Linked DNA regions of Drosophila melanogaster. The protein of the gene in region 3 interacts with the protein of the main gene of each other region in a pairwise test. Each region holds a gene or a part of one and is shown on either strand. Other genes may lie near its edges.

Region 1 (6,990 bases), on a different chromosome or scaffold from region 3:
ATTTTTTCCACTTCTCTACGTTTCCTCTTCTTGTTTATGTTCCCTTATCAGCAACTCAGATATGCCAGCTACTTTTGCACAGTAAAAAATAATAATCTTATTGCAAGTTTATTCATACTTGATTCAAACCTATTTGTAACTACTCACATATCAAATCGCAGCGACCCAATTTTGTATTCCATTGAATCATTGATATACGATAGTGATAGAAATATGAAATAAAATTGTACGCGGAATTACTTCTCTTATCGGTCTATATAAATACACTTGGTGAATAACAACAACCAAAATTTGAGTGCTATTCGCATTCAAACACACAGATGTATGCATATACATACATATGTACATATGTATGTACATAAGAACGTGCGCGTTCATAATTCGTGGGAATCGGTACCGGGTTTATTATCTACTATCTGCCCATCTAGTGCTCATATCCCATTCTAATACTTATATCATCATCCACTCAATTAGGGCAGTCATTGTGTGTACTGTGTTATGTTCAATCAACGCGGAAAACTAAGGAACCGAATGGCAAAAGTCTCGATCCATTCACATAATTACAACTTAAGCTACAATGTACCTTAGTGGGGCTCTAAAATGTGATTTTAACAACAAGAAAGCACATTCAATAAACATATTATTAATAATTTAACTTATCCTTTGTTTCAAATCAAGATCACCTGGTTGTATATTGTTAGCCAGCACTGTGCCCACGGCAGCTGGCTTCTGTCCATCGTAGGCCAGGGTCAGGGTTTTCCAATTAGAAACAAATAATAATAATAACAAAAAAGGCGAGCGGCAAATAGAAAACAATACTGCATTTCCCACCCCTTTGGATACAATCATATATATGTATATGTACATATGTACCTGTATCGTTCTAAGCCCCTAAATGATTTATTTGTGACAAAACAAATGCCGACTCTCTTGGCTTTTCTTACGCTCAGCCTTCTCTTTTCCGACTGGCTTTTCTCTTACTTTTCCGACGGCGGAAATCAAGACTAAATGCAGATAGTCATGCCAAATAAAACTGTTTATTATAACATATACGTGTGGCAGATTTTCCAATCAAACCGACCAAAACTGAGTGGAAAATCAGAATCAGTTGTCGGCGCGAAGTCGAATCGAACGGAAAGTCGAAAGTAAAGCCGCGGCTAAAGTCGTTCTTTTGCCGACTTTTCCTGGCTGCCATTACGCAAGTCACGGCCATATTTTCATGTGAAAATCAATAGTGGCCATCTCAGCGGGCACTTTGCCCAAGAAAAATTTAAAAAAAAACACGAAAATCCCGAACGCAGCAATTAATAAGTTCGCAATTCGGTCAATAAACACAAAACAAAGAGCGTTGCCAAAAATATAACGAGATAAAATGAAATGAGCTTAAGCACAATCGAATAATAAATTGAAACGTACAACAGATAAACAAACGCATATATGCACGTCTATAAGAATGCCCATCTTTCAATATATACATATGAATATATATATCTATATATACATAAACATATATATTTGCATAGTATATGTATGAATGTTTGCATATCGCACACTCGGCAAATAAGGCAAATGAACTGACAATGACTTGCAGACATGGCGAAAAGCGCACAATACCACCAGGTTGAACAAACCAATTGGCCTATGAAGCTATCAAAGAAAAAAGAAAAAAAGCTGAAAAAACTTCACATGGGTTATTAACAACCCACCGCTAACCACCGATACCGATACTCCATTGCCAATTCCAATTCCAATTCCAATTTTGGCTCCCATCTGGGGGCTATTGATAAGCCACTTCTGACAGGGCGTTAAACAAATCGAGCCGAGCCCTCCTAATAGAGGAAAGTTACCAGACTAGAATACGGAATAGCAAACTACGAATTTGAAGTGGTGTGTCAAGGAGGCAGCCTTATCGTACTTATCACTTGTCGATCGATTCGATCGAAACATCGCCAAAATGGATCATTAATTTGGTGGTCTACAAGTATTATGCAGAAATTATGTATTTGACAATGATAAATGAGCATATAGGTGGTTTCAAGTTGAGAAATAACCAATTCCATAATCAATTTAAAGAGTGGCACAGTATAATGCATTTTTGACCAATAAGGTCCGCCTTTTGGCCAAATTATTTATACAAATTTACCTAAAATGATGTATCGTACCTCGCTGAGTTTGAAAAGTAGTTTTTCATTTAGTATTTCAATATAAAAATTCTAAATTGTTGCCATTTTCGCAAATTTTGGGTTACAAAAATGGTAAAATTTTGAATTTGGGTATAAAAATAATCCATTTTTTGACCAAAACTTGAAAATTAGTGCTCCAAATATGGAATGTCATATATCGTTGAGTTCGTAATTAAATTTCCAATCAAACTGTATTTAAAAGTTAGAATTCCATTTTTTTGCAATTTTTTGCAAATTTTGATGATGGTACCCCTTACAAAAAATGCAAAAATTTACGAAAAAATTTTTTTTCCAAAATTCGTCAAAAAGTGATAGAATTAGTTAGCATTGGTAATTAGCTGCTCAAAACAGGTATTCTTTTATCTATATGACCATTTTTACCAAAGTTATGACGAAAATTCGGTTTGTAAATATCAAATTTTTGGTAAAAGTCGTTTTTCCGAATTTCAATAAATGGAAAAACTGTTAGTCCTTTAAATCACATGCCCATTCTTAGCTAATCAGAAGAGGTTAAAGTTAGAGACGATGCCATATTGTTAATCGTCTAATTTGTACATATGTATATATCTATTTTTTTTACTGGGTTCGAAGAGCTTTGATCTTGAAAACCCCCTTTGGCGTTCCACCCATTCGGCGTGGCTATATGCAGTTTGTTTATCCAAAATATTGTTTATAATTAGCAAACATTGTGGGCTTTCCGAGCTTTGTGCCGCAGCCGTGTTTGCTAGTGACTAGAAAGCTCCCTACCAACTTTACCCGATATATAAACTTTGGATCCGCTGGGATCGGGAGAGGTGTGAAACTATATAAAGAGTGAGAGAGGAGAGAAAGCAGAGGAAAATACTGAGGCGTAGACAAAGAAAAAAGCGAAAGACAGACGCGTAGGAGATGCGCGAATTGCGTCGAACGGAATTCAAACTAAATTAAGTGCAGTCGATCGCGGGCGGTATATATATTCCACCGATCCGAACCGACAGTTGCCCAAAGACATTGCCCCAGAGCAGAATATCGAGCAGAGCGGCGACACCTGTCACCGGGGGAATTACATAAAAAACAAAACAAAAATAAAAAAAACACAAACACTCAAGATTTTCACAACACACAAATCAGTAAACATCGGAGAAAAATCGAAACAAATCAACACGAAACACTCATTTGGATTAGCCGTTAGCCAATATAGACCGTTCAGGATCCCAGGATCCAGGATCTCAATTGCCGAGATGTCGTACCGCGGAATGCTGAGCACCTCGGACGGTTCGCCCGTCGAGCTGCGCGTCCAGGATGTGGACTCCTTTGACGGATCGATGATGTCCCATGCGGCCACCAATGCGGCCGGTCCGCTGGGCAGCAAGGCCAGCGGCAAGTCCCTCAACGCCTGCACCTCCATGTCCATGCCCCAAAAGCCGAGTTCCCTAAGGGCGACATGTAAGTCGCCAGTTCCCCAGCCGCTGCCCATGTAAGTGAATGCATCGCGACGACACAAGCCACACGAGCCACACGAACCACCCAACCGCCACCCACTGACCTCGTGCACTGCGCGAAAACACAGCAGTCCAGTTGGTAGCAAAACGTATGGCCTTAAATCAATGAAGATGGGCTAACTTATTTCTTGCAAATCATCGCTTACCTATTACAATATTATACCAAGTTGAATGTTTCTTTGTACATCTCTTTCTTTCGATGTCTTTGTCTTTGTCTTTCTCTCTCTCTCTATTTTCTCTGCTGCAAAAAGAAAGCAAATGACATTCACTCTCCCACGCACACAGCAAAGCACTCTCACTCAAAACAAAAAAAAAACCTGTAGCAATAACTCACACGGTTCGCTACACTCGAAGAAATGCCTTGTGTGGATGCAGATATGATCTTTGGTTACAAGCTGTATTTAAGAACTTCTTAACTTGTTAACAATGCTTGTTTTATTAAGCAAATATTGCCCACAAGCCGCATCAGTTGCCTGAAAATTGTTTAATTCATTTATTATTGTATGTACCACTGCATTGTTTCAGTGTAGCGCTAATCCTCTGTCGCTGCGCTGCCAATCAGTCGCAACATCTCTTGAGTCGCACTAACCCATATAGAAATATAGGAAAGTTATAATACCCTGTAAAGTGGTATAGCACTTGGGTTTCTTAAGATACATACTTCAAAATATACAAAAATAAAATGATAATAAATCAGTTTAGATTGCGTCAATCAAGTTTCTGCGAATATATCCCGGTGCCTTGTGGAATAATAAGCTTTTTAGTTAAGATAATTAGCCCACTTAAATATGATTCTTTGCGGCGGGTTTATTCCTTTGATGATAGGAGATTATTGTTGTTTTTGTGACCTTGAAGTGTATTCCAACTTCGGATCGTTTTAATCAGTCTCCTCATCTAGTTTGTTGTGTTTTGAGTGCGTGTTTTGATTTTGCCAGTATTTTTGCTATCTCCGCTAATCCCTCTCTCCTCCATTTCCGTCTCTTTCGTGCTGTTTTACACTGCAAAAAAAATATAAAAGAACAATTAAAATAAATAATATTAGCTATTATAATCTATATTTGAATTATTACCAAACATCCAAGTGATCTATTCAAATGATCTTGAATATCAGTTAGTTCGGATTAATAATTTCACAGTGAATCTAAGCTTATATGTAAATATTTTTCAGTGCCCTTCTTTTTTGTAAAACTTTGTTGTTCGCCCAATTTGTAGTCGCCAATCAATTCCGTGTGGTTGTTTTCTTGGAAGTCAATGTTTTAGTTCGTTTAATTTTATTTTTTTTATTATTTATTTGTGCCTCCAAAGATGATGCGCCTCTGCTGCAGTCGCAGTCGCAGTCTCAGTCGCTGTCGCTGTCGACGTCGGTAGATCTCGGCCTGGAATTCTCCGATCTTCGACGTTTTCCAATTTCATTCAGGCGACAACTCTCGAACAAGTTACTTCACAACACAACCTTGTCTACGATCCTCCGATTTCCCGGGTTTTCTCTGCATTTTCTGTACACTTTTTCATTTTTTTTTTTGCCATGAACTTCAATCGCATGGATACCGCCCATCGGTTGCGCGTCGATGTTCGACTTTATGGGGGATCGATGGGAAATCAGCTAAATGACAAAGGCACCGCCTCCTCCACGCCCACCATTTCATCGGACGATCTCAGTAGGTGTTTTGCACCACAATGGGATCTATAACTTAATAACTTTACCTGTTTAATTTGAATCCCTATAAATATGATTGTTTTCTAATTTCTTAGGTGATCTCGCCGATTCACCGGTGGATGAGAAGGCCGAAGCTGATGTGGAGGTGACCAACGAGATCTCGGCGCCCTATGAAGTGCCCCAATTTCCCATTGAACAGATCGAGAAGAAGCTGCAAATCCAGCGCCATCTCAATGAAAAGTGAGTGTTAGAAACCAATATACATATATCATAAAGATGCTCCCATAATGATTAAAATTAAATGGTAATTTAGCTTTGAGAGATTATACTTTTAAATTGTTGGATTTTGAGAAAGACCTGATTATTTTTCACTTATCAGCAAAACTTTAGTGATTTGCTATTGGAAACTGTAACATATTACAGTTTAATCAGTTATTAATAGGACTTACAACCTGTCTTACGTGCTACATTTAATAAAATATAATACGTTTTAGAGAAGCTCTACACTTTCAAAATGTAAGTTTCACACAATATATAGAAAAGCAAACTTTCATTTTTAAAATAACAAACGACAGTTGAAGTTTACTATGTACTTTTTGTTTGTAAATATATCTTCATAATTTACATAGATATATATATAGATTAAATTATATGTCTTCAAATCCCCATTATTCGGTTATAGTAATCAGATCCAAACCTAAATCGGTTCTGCTTCGCTTTAGATTTGTTTACTTTACATGCAAAGCAGACAAAAAACACGGCGAGTTCACAGATCTCGTGATTGAGTCCTTATCAGCTTTTCTATATTAAGGTTAGATTTTTTTCAAGGCTAAAATCTCTATTAAACAAACAAAGAAATTTTAAAGAGGACAAAAATAAAAACAAATCTTATCTGGGAAACATATGAAAATATGTTTTTACATCTCAAAATAAATGATAATATTTTCTTTGAATATTTTGTAATTCGAACATATCTTAGGATCTTACATCTCATAATAGATGGAAATATATTTTTTTTATATTTGAACATATTCTTAGGATTTGCACGCATTTCAGTCTGCTTGGCTCTCAATCATGAGCAGTTTCTATAGCCCCGTAATGAGGCAGCCACAAAATGTGTAGGCGTTGCAATTATCAGTCTGCCAGGTGGGCGGTGAATGTATGTATGTAGATTCCCGGGCGTAATCCAAAGTGGGTTTATGTCTGCCGCCAGAGTCCGGATCTCGGTTGCTGTTTGGATTTTCATTTTTGGCCGGGGAAAGTGTGGACCGATGCAGAACACGTTTTGATTTTGAATGGAAGTGCATTAGACAGACAGCCATGACGGAGGTGATGGACTTTCGCCCAAGCCGCCTAAAATCGAGCCGGTAGTGGTGGTTATGGTGGTGGTGCTAGGGCTTATGGCGTAATGAACCACCACCACCACCATCAGCACCGCCGCCAGGAGAACCACTGCAAGCGACGGTTGAGTTCTGGCGCGGATGCCGTCACTTTCAGTACGCTCCGATCCAATAAACGGGCAGCTCAACGTCGCGAAACGCGGCCCAAAGTTACCCACCTGGCACTACACTGTACTACACTACCTGTGCGACCTCCGCTGACATTGAGCCCGCCTAATAGGCAAAACCAGCCATCGAACTGCCATCTAGCCCATCTATAGCCACCCACT
Region 2 (10,202 bases), 850 kb from region 3:
ACTTGGAAATATACAATTCGTTTTCGAAACGCTTCGATTTTGAGCTATCTACGGATAATATCAACGATTTGATTGCGAGAAAGGATGTTAAAACAATCAAGAGGAACTGGTCCGCTCTGGGGAATGTAAGGTTCGATATACCACGACTGACTGAGGACTTCAAGGAGCCCGACTGCAGCGAGCCCAAGGACATTGCAAGCACGGAAGATCTGCAAAAGTTGGAGGTGAAGGCGTCCATTTGTGCAAACGCCAAACTGCCACTCACTGCCCTGCAGTCCCAGCTCTTCTACATCGCCAATAACTACCAAGATATATACTATCCCCATCGAACTCATGGCAATGCCGAGGATATTCGCTATGTATACTGCCTGCACGCCCTGAACCACATGCTGAAAGTCAGATCACTGATATTGCGCAACAACGAAAAGGTTTCGGCTTTGGCCAAGTCACAAAAAATGTCGCCCAACGAAATCTCTATACCAGAGAGCTTCAGGGACCAAGGGCTTAAGCGGATGAAGGTCGTTTTTGTAGTGCCCTTCAGGGAATCGGCTCTAAGGATTGTAAATATACTCGGAGATCTACTCTTTGGCAGTCAAGATGGTAAGTCACCCGTTGATAGCAAAGAACCTGTATTACCATTAAATGTCCTTCACAGATCAGGCCAGGAAAACCTCGATCGCGAACTATGAACGCTTCCTGGGAGATTACTCCGGGAATACGATTTACTTCCCCAAAACCAACCCAAAGCCAATGGATTATGAGCAAACATTCAGTGGCAACACGGATGACAACTTCAAACTAGGTATTCGTTTTACAAAGAAAACCATGTCCCTATTCTCCGATATGAACGCATCGGACATGTTGATCGCGTCTCCCTTGGGACTGAGAATGCTGGTTACGGACAAGGAGAGCGATTTTGACTTTTTGAACTCCATTGAACTGCTGATAATCGACCAAGCCGAATTGTTCCTGGCGCAGAACTGGGAGAACCTGCTGCACTCCCTGGACCACCTGCACCTGCAGCCGCAGAAGCTGCCCGATACGAATTGCCAGAGGGTACGAACGTGGTGCCTGAGTGGAGCGTCAAGTTTCTACCGCCAAACCCTGTTCTTCTCGTCCCACGAGCTGCCCGAGTTCCGGGCAGTGTTCAACAGCAAGTGCAACAACTACCAGGGAAAGGTGCGAGACTCGAACCTCGTCGAGCACGGAGACATCCGGAACGTTCTGACTCCAATACATCAGGTTTTCCGCCTAATCAATTGCTCCAGTGTGGAGACGACCTTCGACGATCGGTTCCAGTACTTCGTCAAGAATATTATGCCCCAATTCAGTAAGCCCGGTTTCTCGCACTGTATGCTATACGTGCCCAGCTACTTTGACTACGTACGGATACGCAACCATTTCAAGACCGAAATGGTCAGTTTTGTGCAGATAAATGAGTACACCAAGAAAGAAAAGATTTCCCGGGCGAGAGATATATTCTTCCACAGCGGGGCATCTGTTCTGTTGTACTCGGAAAGAGCGCACTTCTTCCGGCGCACGCGGATTAAGGGCATCCGGAACTTGATCATGTACCAGCCGCCCAACTTTCCGCACTTCTATTCCGAGATCATCAATCTGATGCTGAAGACAAATCAAAATCCGCGCGATGGATTTGGGGACGAAATGTCCGTCAGTATCCTGTACACAAAGTACGATCTGCTAAGCTTGAGTAACATTGTGGGCAGTGAGAATGCTGCGAAATTGACTTCTGGTCAAAAGGATTCCTACCTTTTCTCCACCAAAACGTAAATGCTTACACGAGAGCTGACTTTGAAATATGTACATATTTAGTTGTCAATTAGAATATACTAAATGTTAACGCAAGTAAATAGTAATGTATGTGATAACTTTCAGTTGTGGCTCTATTTTTGGACCTAAATACTTTCGTGACGTAGAGATTTTAGGAGGAACTGGCTAGGTGATTGATCTGATGTTAAGGGTGGCGATGTCTTCTCTTTGTTATTACGCAATTTGAAATTATGAAAAAATGAATAATTGGCAAATGGTTGTGTAATAAGAGGCAGCATAAGTAGTGTTTTGCCGATTGATGAAATGATTCAAAATGCATTTGAATTCAATATATTTTGCCTGTTTTTACTTTAATATCCCTTTTTTATAAAGGAAGATTGGCCAGAGCATTATGCAATAAAAGTTATCATTTATAAGGCAATTAAGTGTTAAAAAACATTATTTTGCAGTTTGTATTTGTTTTTAAATGATCACTTCGCTTGATTGCTTGAGATTGCTGGAATCTGGAACCATTACCATATACCGAGTTCCTAAATAGACAATATCCAGCGGTTGACAACCGCATCAAACCCAGATTTGCCAGTCCCAAAATAAATCAAAATTCCTGGCTGCATTGTCATTTATCAACATTTTTAAATATACACATAGGTAGCTTATAAAAGTTCTGGCCTAGACATATAGAGGTAAAATAGTAGCCAAATGCATATTTATGGGGGTCTCTGTGAAAAGTCGTAATAGCTGCTGCACAAGGCGGATGGCTGATGGCGGATATCATACGGCAGAAACGTGTGCGGAGAGCGCTCTTGCCAATATCTGAGAGTCCGAGTCCGTAGGGGCATTACAAGCCTATAAATAAAAATAGTCGACGGCTGCCAGTCTCTGCTGAAATTGGGGAAAAAGGCAGAAAAGCCAAACGAAGAACTAGGGGTTCGCAGGCCGACTGGTGGATGCTCTTTCAGCTGTTAATGGATCGAGATCAACTAGATTGAGGAAATGAGTATTTGGGCTGGGATTTGGGATCTGTTGTATTTGCCAAGGACAAGTAAAATATTCAAAGGGCAGCAGCTATGGATAACTATGATGGATTCTAGCTCGGCGAAAGTGGAATGCGTCAGTGCCAGTGCCATCATTCCCAACCATCCCCCCACCAAAGGACCCAAGTCTTGACCCACTTGAAGTGGCTGACACCGAAGGTAGAAACACCTTTGAGTGACAAACCCTTCCACACAACCCAGCATAATTTCCCCAGATTGGTTTAAAAATACCACTTTCTAAATATTAGACAAACACACGTGCATTTCTCGGAATACGTCTGCACTCACACTCCCAGGCACATCCACATCCACAACCACATCCACGTCCACAAGTGATCTCGCATCGCCACATTGCCATTGCTCTAGACTTTCGTGGCCGTGCGCTCCCGCGGATCCGAGATCGGGCGGCCATATGTACGTATGTATGTATGTGGATGGGGAGCTCGTGTGCCCGTGGTATTGTGGTATTCCCACCTATACCTAGCCACATATACGAATCTCTGGGGGACCACGGTGAATCTGCCTCGTCGAGGTACGAACGAGCTGCACGAGCAGATCTGAACCGCCACCATTCGAATTCGGATCGCATTGGATTGGATTGGATAGGTGGTAAGTGCTCAAAAGTTTGTGCGTGCTAAAAGTATTTTCCCGGGCCAAAATAGAGAGTGTATGTAGTTTTGGGAATTTTGCCAAAATATATGAATTTTGTAATTCAAATAGACACTCTCATCGCGCAGCGTTCTCCTTGCGTTCAGTTGCCGTTGATCGTTATAATAGCGCGATCTTTGTGTCTTGGTCTTCCGACTGAAATAAATTATTATATAATAACGGAATTTTTGCTAGGAATAATAATTGTAAGTTTTGTTGATTTTCTGCAACAACTGCAAAGCGAATACGCCAGTGAATTACTCCAAACTGCCAAAACCATTGGGTAAAGCAAATAAACCCCCCTAAAAACTATCGAAAATTCGTCCGCGCGCTTTCAAAAGAAAAGAAAACCTGGAAACCAAAAGTTATTGAAATGCCTACATATCTACATACGAACATGCTTCTTACACTCGAAAACCGTGCTTCAAACTCAAAGTGTTTGCCCCCAGTTTACTTTGCCACCCTGGAGCTCGTCCAGAGCTCGTAGTTCGATCTATCTACATACATGAAATATCCGTAAGGGCGACGATTCGGCGGTGACCTCGACCTCCGGATGGTATCGAAAATTTGAATGTCACCAATACGAGAGCACTCCACGAATAGATTCGATCCGACACAGATGTAAAGTTTTCCAAGTGCCCGAGATCTATGTATCTGTGATTGAAAATCTGGTTATGCAACCACAACCGCAACCGTGGCGAATATATTCGTACCCAAATTCGAAAGATCCATGTCTTGTACTGTACCTGTAGCCCTTGTAACAAGCATAGAACACACGATCTCTTGAACTCCTTAACTACCCGCATTCATAGCTTAATGGTGGTTACATCGGTTAGTGAATTTGACTGCCTTTCAGTTGCAAAAGATCCCTGAAACCAACAGACAGTTTTACAGAAACGTGTAGCTCTATAAGTACATTCAGCCCAGGATCATGGCCCAATCATTTGTACTTATTTTTGAACCCACCCACCCACTATTATACAACCCATCGGTGGACTTGTCAATCAGAAATTCGGATTCGGGGACGTGGGAAGCAGCATATCGCACAAGTGTCGACATCCATTAGCATGGAGATATCTCTGCTCGCAATATCATAAGCCGTTAAATCGTACATATAACCGCGCAGAATAGGAATCTTTCTCCCTACGATCGTCTCTCTGTATATGTACTCAAACTTATTTATGTGGTCCTAGTACATATCTTTATATCTACGAGTGTTCAGAATTGAGCTGTATTTTTCGGGTGCTAGGACTCTATTTTTAGCCCATCTCGGACAGAGGCGATTTTTTGCTCCATAATGCACACACACATGTGTATTTTAGGGGTATATATAGGCTATATGCATGAAGATGTTTTCGAAACACACGTCTCTGTGCTCAAAATATAAGTAGTATTCGAGCGCATTGATTGACAGTTTTTTGAAAACTAACGCCTTTTGTGGGCGGGCAACTGGTGGAAACCTCGTTATCAGAAGTTACGTATGTAATTCTGTGACGTAGCCAGCGTAATATTCAAGTATTATGCGAGTTGGCTGCCGTTCAAAATTCCCCGTATGGCCTGATTCTAGTGTCTGGTCGCGAAAAAGATTAAAATTAAAATTTAAAAATGTCGCTGCTGGCGAATACCTGGCACCCAGATCTATTTATTGCGGGCTCTTGATCTCGATCTCATTAATTTGAGCACAAAATGCGCGAAAAGAATAGTGTTGCTTGTTGTGTGGCCAAAATAGTGCGGATGTCTCTGTCGCTTGCCAAGTGAAAATATGACAATGTATAAATAAGTTTAAGCATTCGTGATAAGGATTTCAGTTCGATTTACACCACAGAAGGGAGTAAAAACATTTGGTTTTCGATCGCAATAACAACTTGATTTATAAGGTTAGAGGTATTTTCCAATAAAGAAACTTTCCAGCACAGCTGAATTCCTTCGAAACTTTGATTAGTTTTAAATTCCTATATCACCTCAGCTATCGGTATTACTGAACACGGAAACTCAACAGTTAGCCATCGCAGTTGAGATTCTCAGTTATCGATAACGCCGGCTATCGCAGTTTAGTAGCACAAATTGAACGCGTCAGTAGAAGCTGAGCTAAAAGGTGGGATAATTATCTAATAATTGCCAGGACTGAGAATTCTTAAAAGTTGGAGAAAGAGGCAGCTCTGCACAAATAACGTAACTCGGACGATATACGTTTTCAGTCAGCCCTGTCTTGTGCGAATAATGTCGTGTCATAGTGAGGCAGAACGGCGATAGGCAGTAAATCGCGGCTTGGTACTTAGTGCAATAGTTATCAGCACACATATTCAGAAAAAAGCGCCATGGGTTATATTATATAGAGAGTCAGTGGAAAAAAGTACTTAACACACGCAGTGCGTCGTTTAGCGAGGTTAACGTAGGAGCAGAGCACCCGTATTACGGACCAGATCCCCCAATCCCCCGCAGAAACTGAGAATAGAAAAACGAAAACTGCGTCTGTTGTGCGAAGTGACACGTGTGTGAATCTCATAAGCGGAGCGATTTGGCCAGGGTAACAGCCCATCATAGTAATGCAATATTCCAGCATATTCTCCGACCCGATCCGCACAATCCGATCCTAAGTTGGCGCGATAACTGCGCGACTTTAGTGGCCAGTCCGGGCCCGATCAGAAGTGCCTGAAATCGGGGAATTAGCATGTAGCACCTGTGTATGTGCGTATGTTGGAAAGTACCCGTGAGCCGAGTGCCGTGCACATGCACATGTACGACCACTTATTCAGAACCTAATGAGGTAGTTTTAACTGCAAACGTACATGCCAGTACAGATGTATGTGCATACATACGTGCATACACACTTGCTATTCCAGTCAGTCGTTGAATAGAGCCCAGAAAACGGCAAAATAGCTAAATAGCCCTGCCAGAGAATTAAAATGAGCCCCTTGCCTTGTGTCTACTTTCAAATCCCCACCTGAATCGCCCCGGAATCTGGACACAGGCCACTGAACGAAGAGGATAACGAATCAAGATGGAAGACGGTCACTCGAAAACCGTCGAACAGTCCCTCAACTTCTTCGGAACGGACCCCGAGCGCGGCTTAACCCTCGACCAGATCAAGGCTAACCAGAAGAAATACGGACCCAATGGTGAGAGTCGCGCGTAATTCCCCTCCACATTCCGAGACCGAATCGACTGACGTGTTTGTTTTCTTATCGTTACAGAGTTGCCGACTGAGGAAGGTGCGAACACAACCCGAGCAGATCCCCTGCCCCCCACCCCCACTTCACTGTATGCATACATTATAATAACGATTGTATTCCACAGGAAAGAGCATCTGGCAGCTGGTCTTGGAGCAGTTCGACGATCTGCTGGTGAAGATTCTGCTGTTGGCAGCCATCATCTCATTTGTAAGTGCAGCAGCACAAAGAAACCCACCCTCAAAAACTTAGTTACGACCACACTCTTCCCCTCTGCAATCCCCAGGTTCTCGCCCTGTTTGAGGAACACGAGGAAACGTTCACTGCATTTGTAGAGCCCCTAGTTATTTTACTTATCCTGATAGCCAACGCCGTGGTGGGAGTATGGCAGGAGCGTAACGCCGAGTCGGCCATTGAGGCCCTCAAGGAGTACGAGCCTGAGATGGGCAAGGTGGTGCGCCAGGACAAGTCCGGCATCCAGAAGGTGCGCGCGAAAGAGATCGTGCCCGGTGACCTGGTTGAGGTGTCTGTCGGTGACAAGATCCCTGCCGATATCCGTATCACCCACATCTACTCGACCACCCTTAGGATCGATCAGTCCATCCTCACCGGTGAGTCGGTCTCCGTCATCAAGCACACCGATGCCATCCCCGATCCCCGCGCCGTCAACCAGGACAAGAAGAACATCCTGTTCTCCGGCACCAACGTCGCAGCCGGCAAGGCCCGTGGCGTCGTCATCGGCACTGGCCTGAGCACCGCCATCGGCAAGATCCGTACTGAGATGTCCGAGACCGAGGAGATCAAGACCCCCCTGCAGCAGAAACTGGACGAGTTCGGTGAGCAGCTGTCCAAGGTCATTTCCGTCATTTGCGTTGCCGTGTGGGCCATCAACATCGGCCACTTCAACGACCCCGCTCACGGAGGCTCCTGGATCAAGGGTGCCATCTACTACTTCAAGATCGCCGTCGCTCTGGCTGTGGCTGCCATCCCCGAGGGTCTGCCCGCCGTCATCACCACCTGTCTGGCTCTGGGCACCCGCCGCATGGCCAAGAAGAATGCCATCGTCCGCTCCCTGCCCTCCGTGGAGACCCTGGGCTGCACATCTGTCATCTGCTCTGATAAGACCGGCACACTCACCACCAACCAAATGTCCGTTTCCCGCATGTTCATCTTCGACAAGGTTGAAGGCAACGACAGCAGCTTCCTCGAATTCGAGATGACCGGCTCCACCTACGAGCCCATCGGCGAGGTCTTCCTCAACGGTCAGCGCATCAAGGCTGCTGACTACGATACCCTGCAGGAACTGTCCACCATCTGCATCATGTGCAACGACTCCGCCATTGATTACAATGAGTTCAAGCAGGCCTTCGAGAAGGTCGGCGAAGCCACTGAGACCGCCCTGATTGTGCTGGCTGAGAAACTGAACAGCTTCAGCGTGAACAAGTCTGGCCTGGACCGCCGCTCGGCTGCCATCGCCTGCCGCGGTGAGATCGAAACCAAGTGGAAGAAGGAATTCACCCTGGAGTTCTCTCGCGATCGTAAATCCATGTCCTCGTACTGCACCCCCCTGAAGGCTTCCCGCCTGGGCACTGGCCCCAAGTTGTTCGTGAAGGGCGCCCCCGAGGGTGTTCTAGAGCGTTGCACACACGCCCGCGTTGGCACCACCAAGGTTCCTCTGACCTCGGCCCTGAAGGCCAAGATCCTCGCCCTGACCGGCCAGTACGGTACTGGACGCGACACCCTTCGCTGCCTGGCTCTGGCCGTTGCCGATAGCCCCATGAAGCCCGACGAGATGGATCTGGGCGACTCCACCAAGTTCTACCAGTATGAGGTTAACCTGACCTTCGTCGGTGTTGTGGGCATGTTGGATCCCCCCCGTAAGGAAGTTTTCGATTCCATTGTCCGCTGCCGTGCCGCCGGTATTCGTGTTATTGTGATCACCGGCGACAACAAGGCCACTGCCGAGGCTATCTGCCGCAGAATCGGTGTATTCGCCGAGGATGAGGACACCACTGGCAAGTCCTACTCGGGTCGTGAATTCGACGACCTTTCCCCCACCGAACAAAAGGCTGCCGTCGCCCGCTCCCGCCTCTTCTCCCGCGTGGAGCCCCAGCACAAGTCCAAGATTGTTGAGTTCCTGCAGAGCATGAACGAAATCTCCGCTATGACTGGTGATGGTGTGAACGACGCCCCCGCCCTGAAGAAGGCTGAGATCGGTATTGCCATGGGCTCTGGTACCGCCGTCGCCAAGTCTGCCGCCGAAATGGTGCTGGCTGACGACAACTTCTCCTCCATCGTGTCTGCCGTTGAAGAAGGTCGCGCTATCTACAACAACATGAAACAGTTCATCCGCTACCTCATCTCTTCGAACATTGGTGAGGTCGTCTCCATCTTCCTTACTGCTGCCCTTGGCCTGCCCGAGGCTCTGATTCCCGTCCAGCTGCTCTGGGTTAACTTGGTACGTCTTGATGGGGTATTTACTACTTAAAATGGTTAGTAATAGGTACTTGGTCACAGGTTACTGATGGTCTCCCAGCCACCGCTCTGGGCTTCAACCCCCCTGATCTGGATATCATGGAGAAGCCCCCCAGGAAGGCCGATGAGGGTCTCATTTCCGGATGGTTGTTCTTCCGGTGGGTTACTCAAAAAGCACACATCCTTTAATCGGTATTAACTTGGCCTCAATCGAACTTTTAGTTACATGGCTATTGGATTCTATGTCGGCGCTGCCACCGTCGGTGCCGCCGCCTGGTGGTTCGTGTTCTCTGATGAGGGACCCAAACTGTCCTACTGGCAGCTGACCCACCATCTGTCCTGCTTGGGCGGTGGCGACGAGTTCAAGGGCGTTGACTGCAAGATCTTCAGCGACCCCCATGCGATGACCATGGCTCTGTCCGTGCTGGTGACAATCGAAATGTTGAACGCAATGAACAGGTGAGTGAGATAACGAATGATGGACGGCACGATAGATACGAACCGATCGCCTTTGTTTAAACAGCTTGTCCGAGAACCAGTCGCTGATTACCATGCCCCCATGGTGCAACCTGTGGCTGATTGGATCAATGGCACTCTCCTTCACTCTTCACTTTGTTATTCTTTACGTCGATGTCCTCTCCGTAAGTATTTGGCAATGATAAGCCCTTCTGCGCCGCGGAAACTAATGCCAGTATCGTTTTACCCACAGACCGTCTTCCAAGTGACACCGTTGTCTGCAGAAGAATGGATAACTGTGATGAAATTCTCAATTCCTGTAGTTTTATTAGATGAGACATTGAAGTTTGTTGCTAGAAAAATCGCAGATGGTGAGAGTCCTATATATAAGATGCATGGGATTGTGTTAATGTGGGCTGTCTTCTTTGGCCTGCTGTACGCTATGATGCTTTAAGAATATAATTATAATCCATAAGCCCAACTTCATTATTCTAATTTCTAGTATAAAATGTTACTAAATATAAACAGAAACAAGAACCCACAATTATATACATCTAACGTAACGACTTTAACCCCATGAAGTTTGTTCCCAACTGCAACTACTGATTTCCACCCGGTGTCACAGAAT
Region 3 (8,971 bases):
AGCATCTACGCAGGATTCGATCCCACCGCTGACAGTCTACACGTGGGCAATCTGCTTGTAATAATGGGCCTGATCCACTGCCAAAGAGCCGGCCACAGACCTATTGCCCTAGTAGGAGGAGCAACTGGACTCATAGGGGATCCCAGTGGACGCAAGACAGAGCGCAACCAACTGGGCGAGACGGTGATCGAGACCAATCTAAAGGCTATCGAGCAACAGCTTCGCCGGGTGTTCGAAAATCACGAGAACTGCCTTTGGGACTCTAAGAAACAGAAATTGCCACTGGCTCCCCTAATGTGAGTGTGTAGCCTACATCAGGTCGTGTTAATCTCTTTCTAATCTCCGCAGAATCGTCAACAATGCCGACTGGTATGCGGACCTGCAGCTCATCGACTTTGTGGCCAACATGGGACGACACTTTCGCATGGGGTCAATGCTCTCCAGATCCTCGGTGCAGTCCCGCCTGGAGTCGGAGGACGGAATGAGCTTCACCGAGTTCACCTACCAGATTTTCCAAGCCTACGACTGGCTGCACCTACTGCGCCGCCACAACTGCTGCTTTCAAATGGGAGGCTCCGATCAGACGGGCAATTTAATGACTGGACACGAGCTTATTAGCCGCGTAGAGCGAAAGCGAGAGGTCTTCGGGCTCACCCTGCCATTGGTCACGACGGAAGAGGGCGATAAGTTCGGCAAGTCGGCAGGCAATGCAGTGTGGCTAGACGGTAACAAGACCTCGCCTTTCGCCCTCTACCAGTTTTTCCTGCGCATGCCAGACTCCGAGGTCGAAAAGCTCCTGAAGCTGTTCACCTTCATCCCGCTGCCCCAGGTGGAGCAGTTGATGCGGGAGCACACGAAGGAGCCCGAGAAGCGGAAGGCGCAGACTCTGCTGGCTGAGGACGTGACTCTGCTGGTTCATGGAGGTTGTACTCTATATCATTGTTCCTTTATATCAGTAGTATAGAAGTTTTCAATTCACAGAAAGTGGGCTGAAGCAGGCGGAACGTGTGACCAATGCCTTATACAAAGGCAACGTGGAGGGTTTAGCGGAACTCAACCTTTCCGAGATCCAGCAGACTTTTCAGGGTGCTACTATGGTGAACCTGTTGACCGAGCCAGGAATGTCCATCCTAGAGCTCGCCATGAAGGCGAAGTGCTTTCCCACGGAGAGTAAGTTATCTTTCTCTTTGGAAATATGGGGCATAATCGATTTGTGATCACTCTTTAGCGGATGCTGTACGCATTATAAACGCAGGCGGATTTTACGTTAACCAGAAGCGGGTGCAGAATATCGCCGAAGTGCTAACTACGGGCGTGCACATCCTGCGCAACGGAATTTCTCTGCTGCGCGTGGGCAAACGCAACTTCTATATTGTGCGCTGGCAATAGTTAACAGTAAACCTCTTATCCGGTAATGTTAACTTTTAATTGTTGTTAAATAATCATAGAATGGCTTACATTGTAAGAACTTATGCTATTTATGTGGGTCTGGGGGCGGGCTTTTTGCGCCACCGCTTTCGCGCCAGCATTTCCTTGGCCTTCTCCTTTTTCAGGTCCTTGTCGTAAAACTTGCCGCTCTTCGTGAAGGTCTTCTGCTCGTTGCGCATCTCGGCCAGCTTTCGGTTCTTCTGTTTGATGATGTTCTTCTTGTTGGCCGACTTCTTCTTGCCCGCCTCGGAGATCTGCACCTTGATGTTGCGTCCCTGCAGCTCTGTGTTGTGCAGCTGGAAGGCATTCTGGAAACTGCTTAGGTCGGCCATTTCCACAAAGGCGAAGCCCCCTCGTCGCTTCTTGGGAATGCGGATAGACTTGACCGTGCCTGCCGCAGAGAAGTGCAGCTCCAGGTCGTCCTTTGTGGTTTCGAAGTTCAGGTTCGTCACGTACAGGACGTGTCTGTTGGTTTTGGAGGCTCCTCGAAGCAGTGAACTCAGCTGGTCACTGGTTATCTGCCCATTTTCCGCAGATTCCTCTTCCTCGGCTCCGGAAGCAGCACTGCCCTCAGCGGCTGCCTCGTCGTCGGACTTGGCCTCATCCTCGCTCTTACTATCCTCCGGGTCACTGGGATTCCGTCCGTCCTCCTTGTCCACATACGTGCCCTCGAAGATCTCCCTTCGCTTCTGGTCATCGAAGTTTCCCAATAGATCCGCACTGTCGTCGTTGACTGTGCGTTGAACTCGCTTGGGATTGAAGAAAGCCTCCACCTCATAATCGCTGCCAGAATCACTGGCCATCGTGATATTTCTGGGGGAGATTGCAGTGCACACCGATACGCAGACACCACCACGTGGGATTCCCTCTGAATGGCAAATCTGTGCGGTCCCAGACATTTTCCAGCACTGGCTAATTGCGCGCCAAGAAATTCAAATCCCAGGCCATATTGCAATCGCAGCTTGTTAGAAACCGGTTGCAACTGCGGGAGCAAAATCAGACTGCTAATGGAGTTATGCGAAAATAATGCTAATCGGCGTTAGCATCGAAGGAACCGGTTAGCTCTTATCAGCTAAAAATTAATCGTGCGGTGCTGACAATTGATGAACGTGGTTGTTTTGGGAATCTTCCGCACAGATCTCCAAAGATAACCCCCCGAATATGATATGCCGAGTGGGGCGATAATTAATGCCTGCAGAATGACTGCATCTATGTCTTTTGTTTAATTAAGACAAACGACCGCTGGGAGCCAGTTATGAAGAAAATTTATGCAGTTGGTGATTCCGGCCGGTAAAATGTCAGTGGAGAGCTACATATAAAAGCGCAATTTTCGGCAACCAGCAGTCAAAATTTTATCGCTATCTATCAGCACACACATCCCCTTTCCAACCATGAAGTTTGTGGTAAGTGGCATCGAAATTAGATTTTGGGGACCTCTGAACAACGATTTGTCTTTTAGATCGTTCTTGCCTGCCTTTTGGCCGTGGTCTTCGCCAACGAGGAGGCTGATGTTGTAAAGAGCGACTCCGAGGTTAACTTGCTGGACTTTAACTACGCTTATGAGCTATCCAACCATATTCGCGCCGTGCAAACTGGAGCCTTGAAGGAGCACGACAACTGGGTGGTTTCCGGGGAGTACGAGTACGTGGCCCCCAACGGCAAGACCGTCAAAGTGGTCTACACCGCCGATGAAACCGGCTACCACCCAAAGGTCGTCGAGGCCTAATGAACAGGACCCACTCCCGAAGACCGAAATAAAAAATTAAATCCATTGCAGCAGCGAACATTTTGAATTTCCGTTCTTTTTCTTTTGTGTGAATAGACACTCTTCTTCTTTCTGCCACTAAAATCTAGGGCTGGCAAATTACGAGCGAAATTTTATACAATGTTATCGCTTGTCTCGCAAATTTGCATTAATGTGTAAAGTTAAGTAAACTCATTAAAACTATGTCTGGGCAGCCAACAGCCGTGGACTGCTTAGAGAGCAGTGGAAGCACAGTGGAGGATGTCCAAGAAACACCGGCGTCGAGGGAAAAAAGTTACGGGTTGCCGGTGCGCAAAGGAGAAAATAGCTTGGAGTCTCCTGCAGAACAAGCCGCAAAGGATGTGGAAATTGAGGAACTGACACACAGTGAAGCAATCGCCGCCACCGGTTCAACCAGGAAGCAGTGCCCATATGGAGGTAAGGCCCCTGATGAACCTGGAAAGTTGGCCGACGAATCGGAGGACCGCAAGGGAGAGAACACGAAAGCCATTGCAAGCAGCCCGGTTTTGGTAGCTGTGGATTCGGACAGCAGTGTTGAGCTAATAGAGAGTCCTGTCAAATTCTCCTCCGCCAACGAAAGTGAGAAAGATCCGCCAAAACCAGATGCTGTCAATGAAGCTGCGGCTAAAGAGGCCGAGGAAATGACTGATAGCAGCATCAGCAGTCCCACATCCGAAAGTTTTCCTGAAAAAGATGAAAAGACCAATAAGGAAAATGAGCAAGAACCTCCTGGCATGGAGGTAGATCAGGACGTCGAGGAGTCAATAAGTCGACCAGCAGAAGAATACAAAATTGAGAATACATTAAAAGGTCACAAGCGTATTAGCTTAACGGAAATCGAAGAACACAAAATTGTTGATAAAAAAGACGATGTCCTAGAGGTGGAGCTTGAAAAGGGCACTGCTCCGAAAGCTGCAGAAGACGAGAAGCTGAACGCTTTGTTATCAGATGGAGATGTCTTCTACGACAAGGAATGTGTCAACTGCAATTGCACAAAGCTTCATAAACAGTACGTGTTGGCTAACATGGCCACTTTAAACTTTTACCAGGTGCTCCGAAAGTCTTCCAAGCAGCAGTTCCTCTGCATGGGATGCCATGACACAGCAATGGACTTGTATGAGGTCAACTAGCATATTTATTAACTTAAGAGGGAAACTTAGAACGTATTTCTTTATTTAGGAGTATGCTGGACAACTAATGGCCAAGCAGCCGCTGCTGCTAAAGGATTTCCATCAGGATCACGCCGACTTTGTGGCTCTGGACAGCAGCGATGAGGAGGAAGAGGAGAAGCAGCCAGGTGAGACTGCTATCATGATAAATAAACAATAGCAAAAAAAAAAACGTACTAAATATATTTTATCCGCACAGAAAAATCGGACTTTTCGAAAAACAAGCTGCAGCTCATCGAAGATGAACTCGATGATGCCATCAAAAATGTACTTAACAAGGTGGATTTTACGGCTCAGCTGTCCTGGTCAAAAACTATTCTCCAGGCGAAAGCAGACCACTTGGAGCGACAATTCGCACTGGCAGATGTGGAACTCGAAAAAGTTCAGACCACCGCTGACAAAATGCACTGCGCTTTGTATAACTCGTGTCCGGTGGCACACAAACATCTGCCCACCCTGGACATTGAACCCAGTGACTATGTGGTAAGTAAGAAGTGATGCCGTTTGGATCTGATTTAATACAACCATTTACTCAGCATGAAGTTCCACCTCCTGGCGAAATCGTGCGTCCTCCAATACAGTTGGGAGAGACATACTACGCTGTTAAGAACAAGGCTATTGCCAGCTGGGTGTCCATAAAGGTAATCGAGTTTACAGAGAGCACCGCCATCAACGGAAACACGATGAAGAGCTACAAGATTAGGTACCTCAACACTCCGTACCAGATGATCAAGACAGTGACGGCCAAGCACATTGCCTACTTCGAACCACCGCCAGTGCGACTGACCATTGGTTAGTTCCCAATAGACCGGTTATTTATCAATCTATAAACTAACCCACTCATTGTGCACTAGGTACCCGCGTGATTGCGTACTTCGATGGCACCACTTTGTCGCGGGGCAAGGATAAGGGCGTGGTGCAGAGCGCCTTTTATCCAGGCATCATCGCTGAGCCGTTGAAGCAGGCCAATCGCTACCGCTACCTAATATTCTACGACGATGGGTACACTCAGTACGTTCCGCACCGCGATGTCCGTCTAGTTTGCCAGGCTTCCGAGAAAGTGTGGGAGGACGTACACGCCGCATCGCGCGATTTCATACAGAAGTACGTGGAGAAGTACTCCGTGGATCGTCCAATGGTGCAATGCACCCGGGGACAAAGTATGACCACTGAATCGAACGGGACCTGGCTGTACGCGCGCGTCATTGACATCGACTGCAGCTTGGTGTTGATGCAGTTTGAGGGCGACAAAAACCATACGGAGTGGATATACAGGGGTTCATTGCGCTTGGGTCCTGTCTTCAGGGAAACCCAGAACAATATGAACAGTTCAAGCGCACAGCAGCTGCGTGTCCCAAGAGTAAGCATCGTGTCGATTCATCCTGCGGTCCTAACTACAAAATGTCTTTCTTTTTCAGCGCACGGAGCCCTTTATTCGGTACACCAAGGAGATGGAGTCCAGCAGCAAGGTGAACCAGCAGATGCGTGCCTTTGCCCGCAAGAGCAGCGCCTCCGCCCAAAATAACGCATTAGCGGCTGCATCTTCGGCAGCAACCCCAGCCGGAGGACGCACCAATGCAGGAGGTGTCAGCACCAGTAATAGCGCAAGTGCTGTGCGACACCTAAACAACTCGACAATCTACGTGGACGACGAGAACAGGCCCAAGGGCCATGTAGTCTACTTTACAGCCAAGCGGAATCTGCCTCCCAAAATGTACAAGTGCCACGAGTGCAGCCCGAACTGCCTCTTTAAGATCGTTCACCGTCTGGACAGCTACAGTCCGTTAGCGAAGCCTCTGCTTTCTGGCTGGGAACGTCTTGTCATGCGGCAGAAGACCAAGAAGTCTGTGGTATACAAGGGACCTTGTGGCAAAAGCTTGCGCAGCCTGGCCGAAGTTCACAGGTACCTTCGAGCTACTGAAAATGTGTTGAACGTAGACAATTTTGACTTTACGCCCGACCTCAAGTGTCTGGCCGAGTACTCCATTGATCCCTCGATCGTGAAGGACACGGACATTTCAAAGGGGCAGGAGAAGATGGCGATTCCGCTGGTAAACTACTACGACAACACCCTGCCGCCCCCATGCACCTACGCGAAGCAGCGCATCCCTACCGAGGGTGTTCATCTGAATCTGGACGAGGAGTTCCTCTTGTGCTGCGACTGCGAGGACGACTGCTCGGTAAGACGTCTTACAGATCTGATTACCTCAAATTATACCCAGCCGCCCACTATTTTGTGTATCCCTATCAGGACAAGTCAAAGTGCGCCTGTTGGCAGCTAACGGTGGCGGGCGTGCGGTACTGTAACCCGAAGAAACCCATCGAGGAGATAGGCTACCAGTACAAGCGGCTCCACGAGCACGTGCCCACCGGCATCTACGAGTGCAACTCGCGCTGCAAGTGCAAGAAGAATTGCCTGAACCGGGTGGTGCAGTTCTCCCTAGAGATGAAACTGCAGGTGTTCAAGACCTCAAATCGTGGATGGGGCTTGCGCTGCGTTAACGACATCCCCAAGGGTGCTTTCATCTGTATTTACGCCGGCCATCTGCTCACGGAGACGATGGCCAACGAAGGCGGACAGGACGCCGGCGACGAGTATTTCGCGGACTTAGATTACATAGAGGTCGCTGAACAGTTAAAAGAGGGATACGAGTCGGAGGTGGACCACTCGGACCCGGACGCCGAGGAGGACAACGGGGGACCCGATGCCGAGGACGATGACGACTTCCGGCCAAACTATCACTACCAGCGCAAAATCAAGCGCTCTTCCAGAAGCGGCTCCACGCAGAACAGCTCCACTCAGAGCAGCGAGTTGGACTCGCAGGAGCGTGCGGTGATCAACTTTAACCCAAATGCTGATCTGGACGAGACGGTGCGGGAGAACTCGGTGCGGAGGCTTTTCGGCAAGGACGAGGCGCCCTACATCATGGACGCCAAGACAACGGGCAACCTTGGACGCTATTTCAACGTGAGTTGGAAGTTTTTTGTTATTTTGCCGTGTGGCTGATTCTCTTCTTCTCCCGCAGCACTCGTGCAGCCCCAATCTCTTCGTGCAGAACGTGTTCGTGGATACTCACGACCTGCGTTTCCCCTGGGTTGCCTTCTTCTCGGCCGCGCACATCCGCTCCGGCACCGAGCTGACTTGGAACTACAATTACGAGGTGGGCGTGGTGCCCGGCAAGGTGTTGTACTGCCAGTGCGGGGCCCCCAATTGCCGCCTTCGTCTGCTCTAAGTTCTAGCTTAAGTTAGAGATCCATACAGGAAATATACTCATTAAAGAAGAATTAGAATTAAAAATTTAAACTTTAAACATTATCTGTTCCGTTAGGGTAACGGAAACATTGCATTTTTATAAGCTACTGCTGTTCTGCACCGTCCGTTTCAAAGTACACAATTTTCTTCACGTTTAGTGTTAAAGGAATAAATATAGACAAATGAATTTTAAAAAATTATACTTTAAAAAAATAATAATGTTCGTTAATTTAACGGTATTAATTTATGTGGTATTTTAACGCATTTTACCTAGTGGTATACTTAATCATCAGCCGTACGGTATTTTTAATCGTTATCCGAACGGTCACACTATCCACCGAGCAAAAAAGCAAATTTAGGCTTTTTAAAATTCGAGAGTAGCTAAATTAGGGGCCGCAATGCGCCAAGCTCACCTGTAAGTGGCTCCAGCAAGTGTCTCGTCGCAGGTGCACAGGTGCTAGGCAGCAGGACTCCGCCGACGGCTGACTAAGAGCAGCTTATCCGCCCCTTGGGAAGAAAAAATCGATTTTGTGATAACGGGCTTACGCTTACGCGTTTTTGCACTGCTAGTCGGAACCAATTGCCAGTAGACTCCACACCATGAATGTGGACTTTGCGAGGGTGTGCGGGAAGCACATAGGCGTCTACGAGGCCTACTACAAACTGGTAAGCGCACCACGCCTCCAAGCCGCACTGTTACCAGGATGGCGGCCAATGTTGAGCATCCGTATCCACACCCACCCTCTATCGATTTTTGCAGATTGACCCCAAAGGCACAGGGGCAATCGAGGCCATGACTGCGGCCAAGTTTCTCAAGAAGTCGGGCCTTAGCGACGTTGTGCTAAGCAGGATCTGGGACCTGTCTGATCCGAGCGGCAAGGGCTTTCTGGACAAGCCGGGCTTTTTTGTAGCCCTTAAGCTGGTGTCCCTGTCGCAGGCGGGACAGGTGGCCAGCATGGCCAACATCTACCTGGACATTGCCAACCCGCCCAAGTTGGTGAGTAATCGCAACTTCGCCCGAAATGGGCAAGACGAGATATATTACATTAATGTCGCCCCAATCGCCAGGGTGAACTACCAAAAACGATGCCGTCGCGTATTCAGACTGTTCCCGTTGCTAGCGGCGGAGTGGCAAACGGAGACTGGTCCATCGGGGTGATCGATCGGCTCAAGTACGAGCAGCTCTTCGAGTCCCTGCATCCCAGTAATGGAATGCTGCCGGGCAACAAGGTTAAAGGCGTGCTCATGGACTCCAAGCTGCCCATGAGCATACTGGGAACTATATGGGACCTGGCCGACCAGGACAAGGACGGCAACCTGGATATGCACGAATTCGTGGTTGCCATGCACCTGGTC

What was found.
Region 1: the proteins of egg (region 3) and AMPdeam interact in a two-hybrid assay, tested with the Drosophila melanogaster proteins (one study listed by BioGRID).
Region 2: the proteins of egg (region 3) and SERCA interact in a two-hybrid assay, tested with the Drosophila melanogaster proteins (one study listed by BioGRID).

Annotation. Positions count from the first base shown.
Region 1 is NC_004354.4:13,836,184-13,843,173, reverse strand, and holds the start of AMPdeam (AMP deaminase), read left to right. Parts: upstream 1-3,162; 5' UTR 3,163-3,403; coding exon 3,404-3,608; exon of another isoform or gene 3,609-3,612; intron 3,613-5,075; exon of another isoform or gene 5,076-5,189; coding exon of another isoform or gene 5,190-5,322; intron 5,323-5,416; coding exon 5,417-5,561; intron 5,562-6,808; exon of another isoform or gene 6,809-6,990.
Region 2 is NT_033778.4:23,929,057-23,939,258, reverse strand, and holds SERCA (Sarco/endoplasmic reticulum Ca(2+)-ATPase), read left to right. Parts: upstream 1-3,374; 5' UTR 3,375-3,434; intron 3,435-3,578; exon of another isoform or gene 3,579-3,679; intron 3,680-5,174; exon of another isoform or gene 5,175-5,350; intron 5,351-5,518; exon of another isoform or gene 5,519-5,568; intron 5,569-5,814; exon of another isoform or gene 5,815-6,444; 5' UTR 6,445-6,474; coding exon 6,475-6,592; intron 6,593-6,667; coding exon 6,668-6,685; intron 6,686-6,770; coding exon 6,771-6,853; intron 6,854-6,929; coding exon 6,930-9,101; intron 9,102-9,160; coding exon 9,161-9,276; intron 9,277-9,340; coding exon 9,341-9,577; intron 9,578-9,641; coding exon 9,642-9,759; intron 9,760-9,827; coding exon 9,828-10,028; 3' UTR 10,029-10,144; downstream 10,145-10,202. Other genes in the region: CG3735 (uncharacterized protein), read left to right, coding at 1-600, 656-1,791. UniProt on the Drosophila melanogaster protein: This magnesium-dependent enzyme catalyzes the hydrolysis of ATP coupled with the transport of calcium.
Region 3 is NT_033778.4:24,774,218-24,783,188, reverse strand, and holds egg (eggless), read left to right. Parts: upstream 1-3,287; 5' UTR 3,288-3,375; coding exon 3,376-4,314; intron 4,315-4,372; coding exon 4,373-4,490; intron 4,491-4,561; coding exon 4,562-4,845; intron 4,846-4,898; coding exon 4,899-5,154; intron 5,155-5,216; coding exon 5,217-5,722; intron 5,723-5,780; coding exon 5,781-6,542; intron 6,543-6,613; coding exon 6,614-7,330; intron 7,331-7,388; coding exon 7,389-7,595; 3' UTR 7,596-7,655; downstream 7,656-8,971. Other genes in the region: TyrRS-m (Tyrosyl-tRNA synthetase, mitochondrial), read left to right, coding at 1-296, 349-923, 982-1,170, 1,229-1,389; CG3594 (uncharacterized protein), read right to left, coding at 1,479-2,231; Lcp9 (larval cuticle protein 9), read left to right, coding at 2,820-2,831, 2,888-3,154; Eps-15 (epidermal growth factor receptor pathway substrate clone 15), read left to right, coding at 8,216-8,281, 8,376-8,612, 8,684-8,971. UniProt on the Drosophila melanogaster protein: Histone methyltransferase that specifically trimethylates 'Lys-10' of histone H3 (H3K9me3) in ovary. H3K9me3 represents a specific tag for epigenetic transcriptional repression by recruiting Su(var)205/HP1 to methylated histones.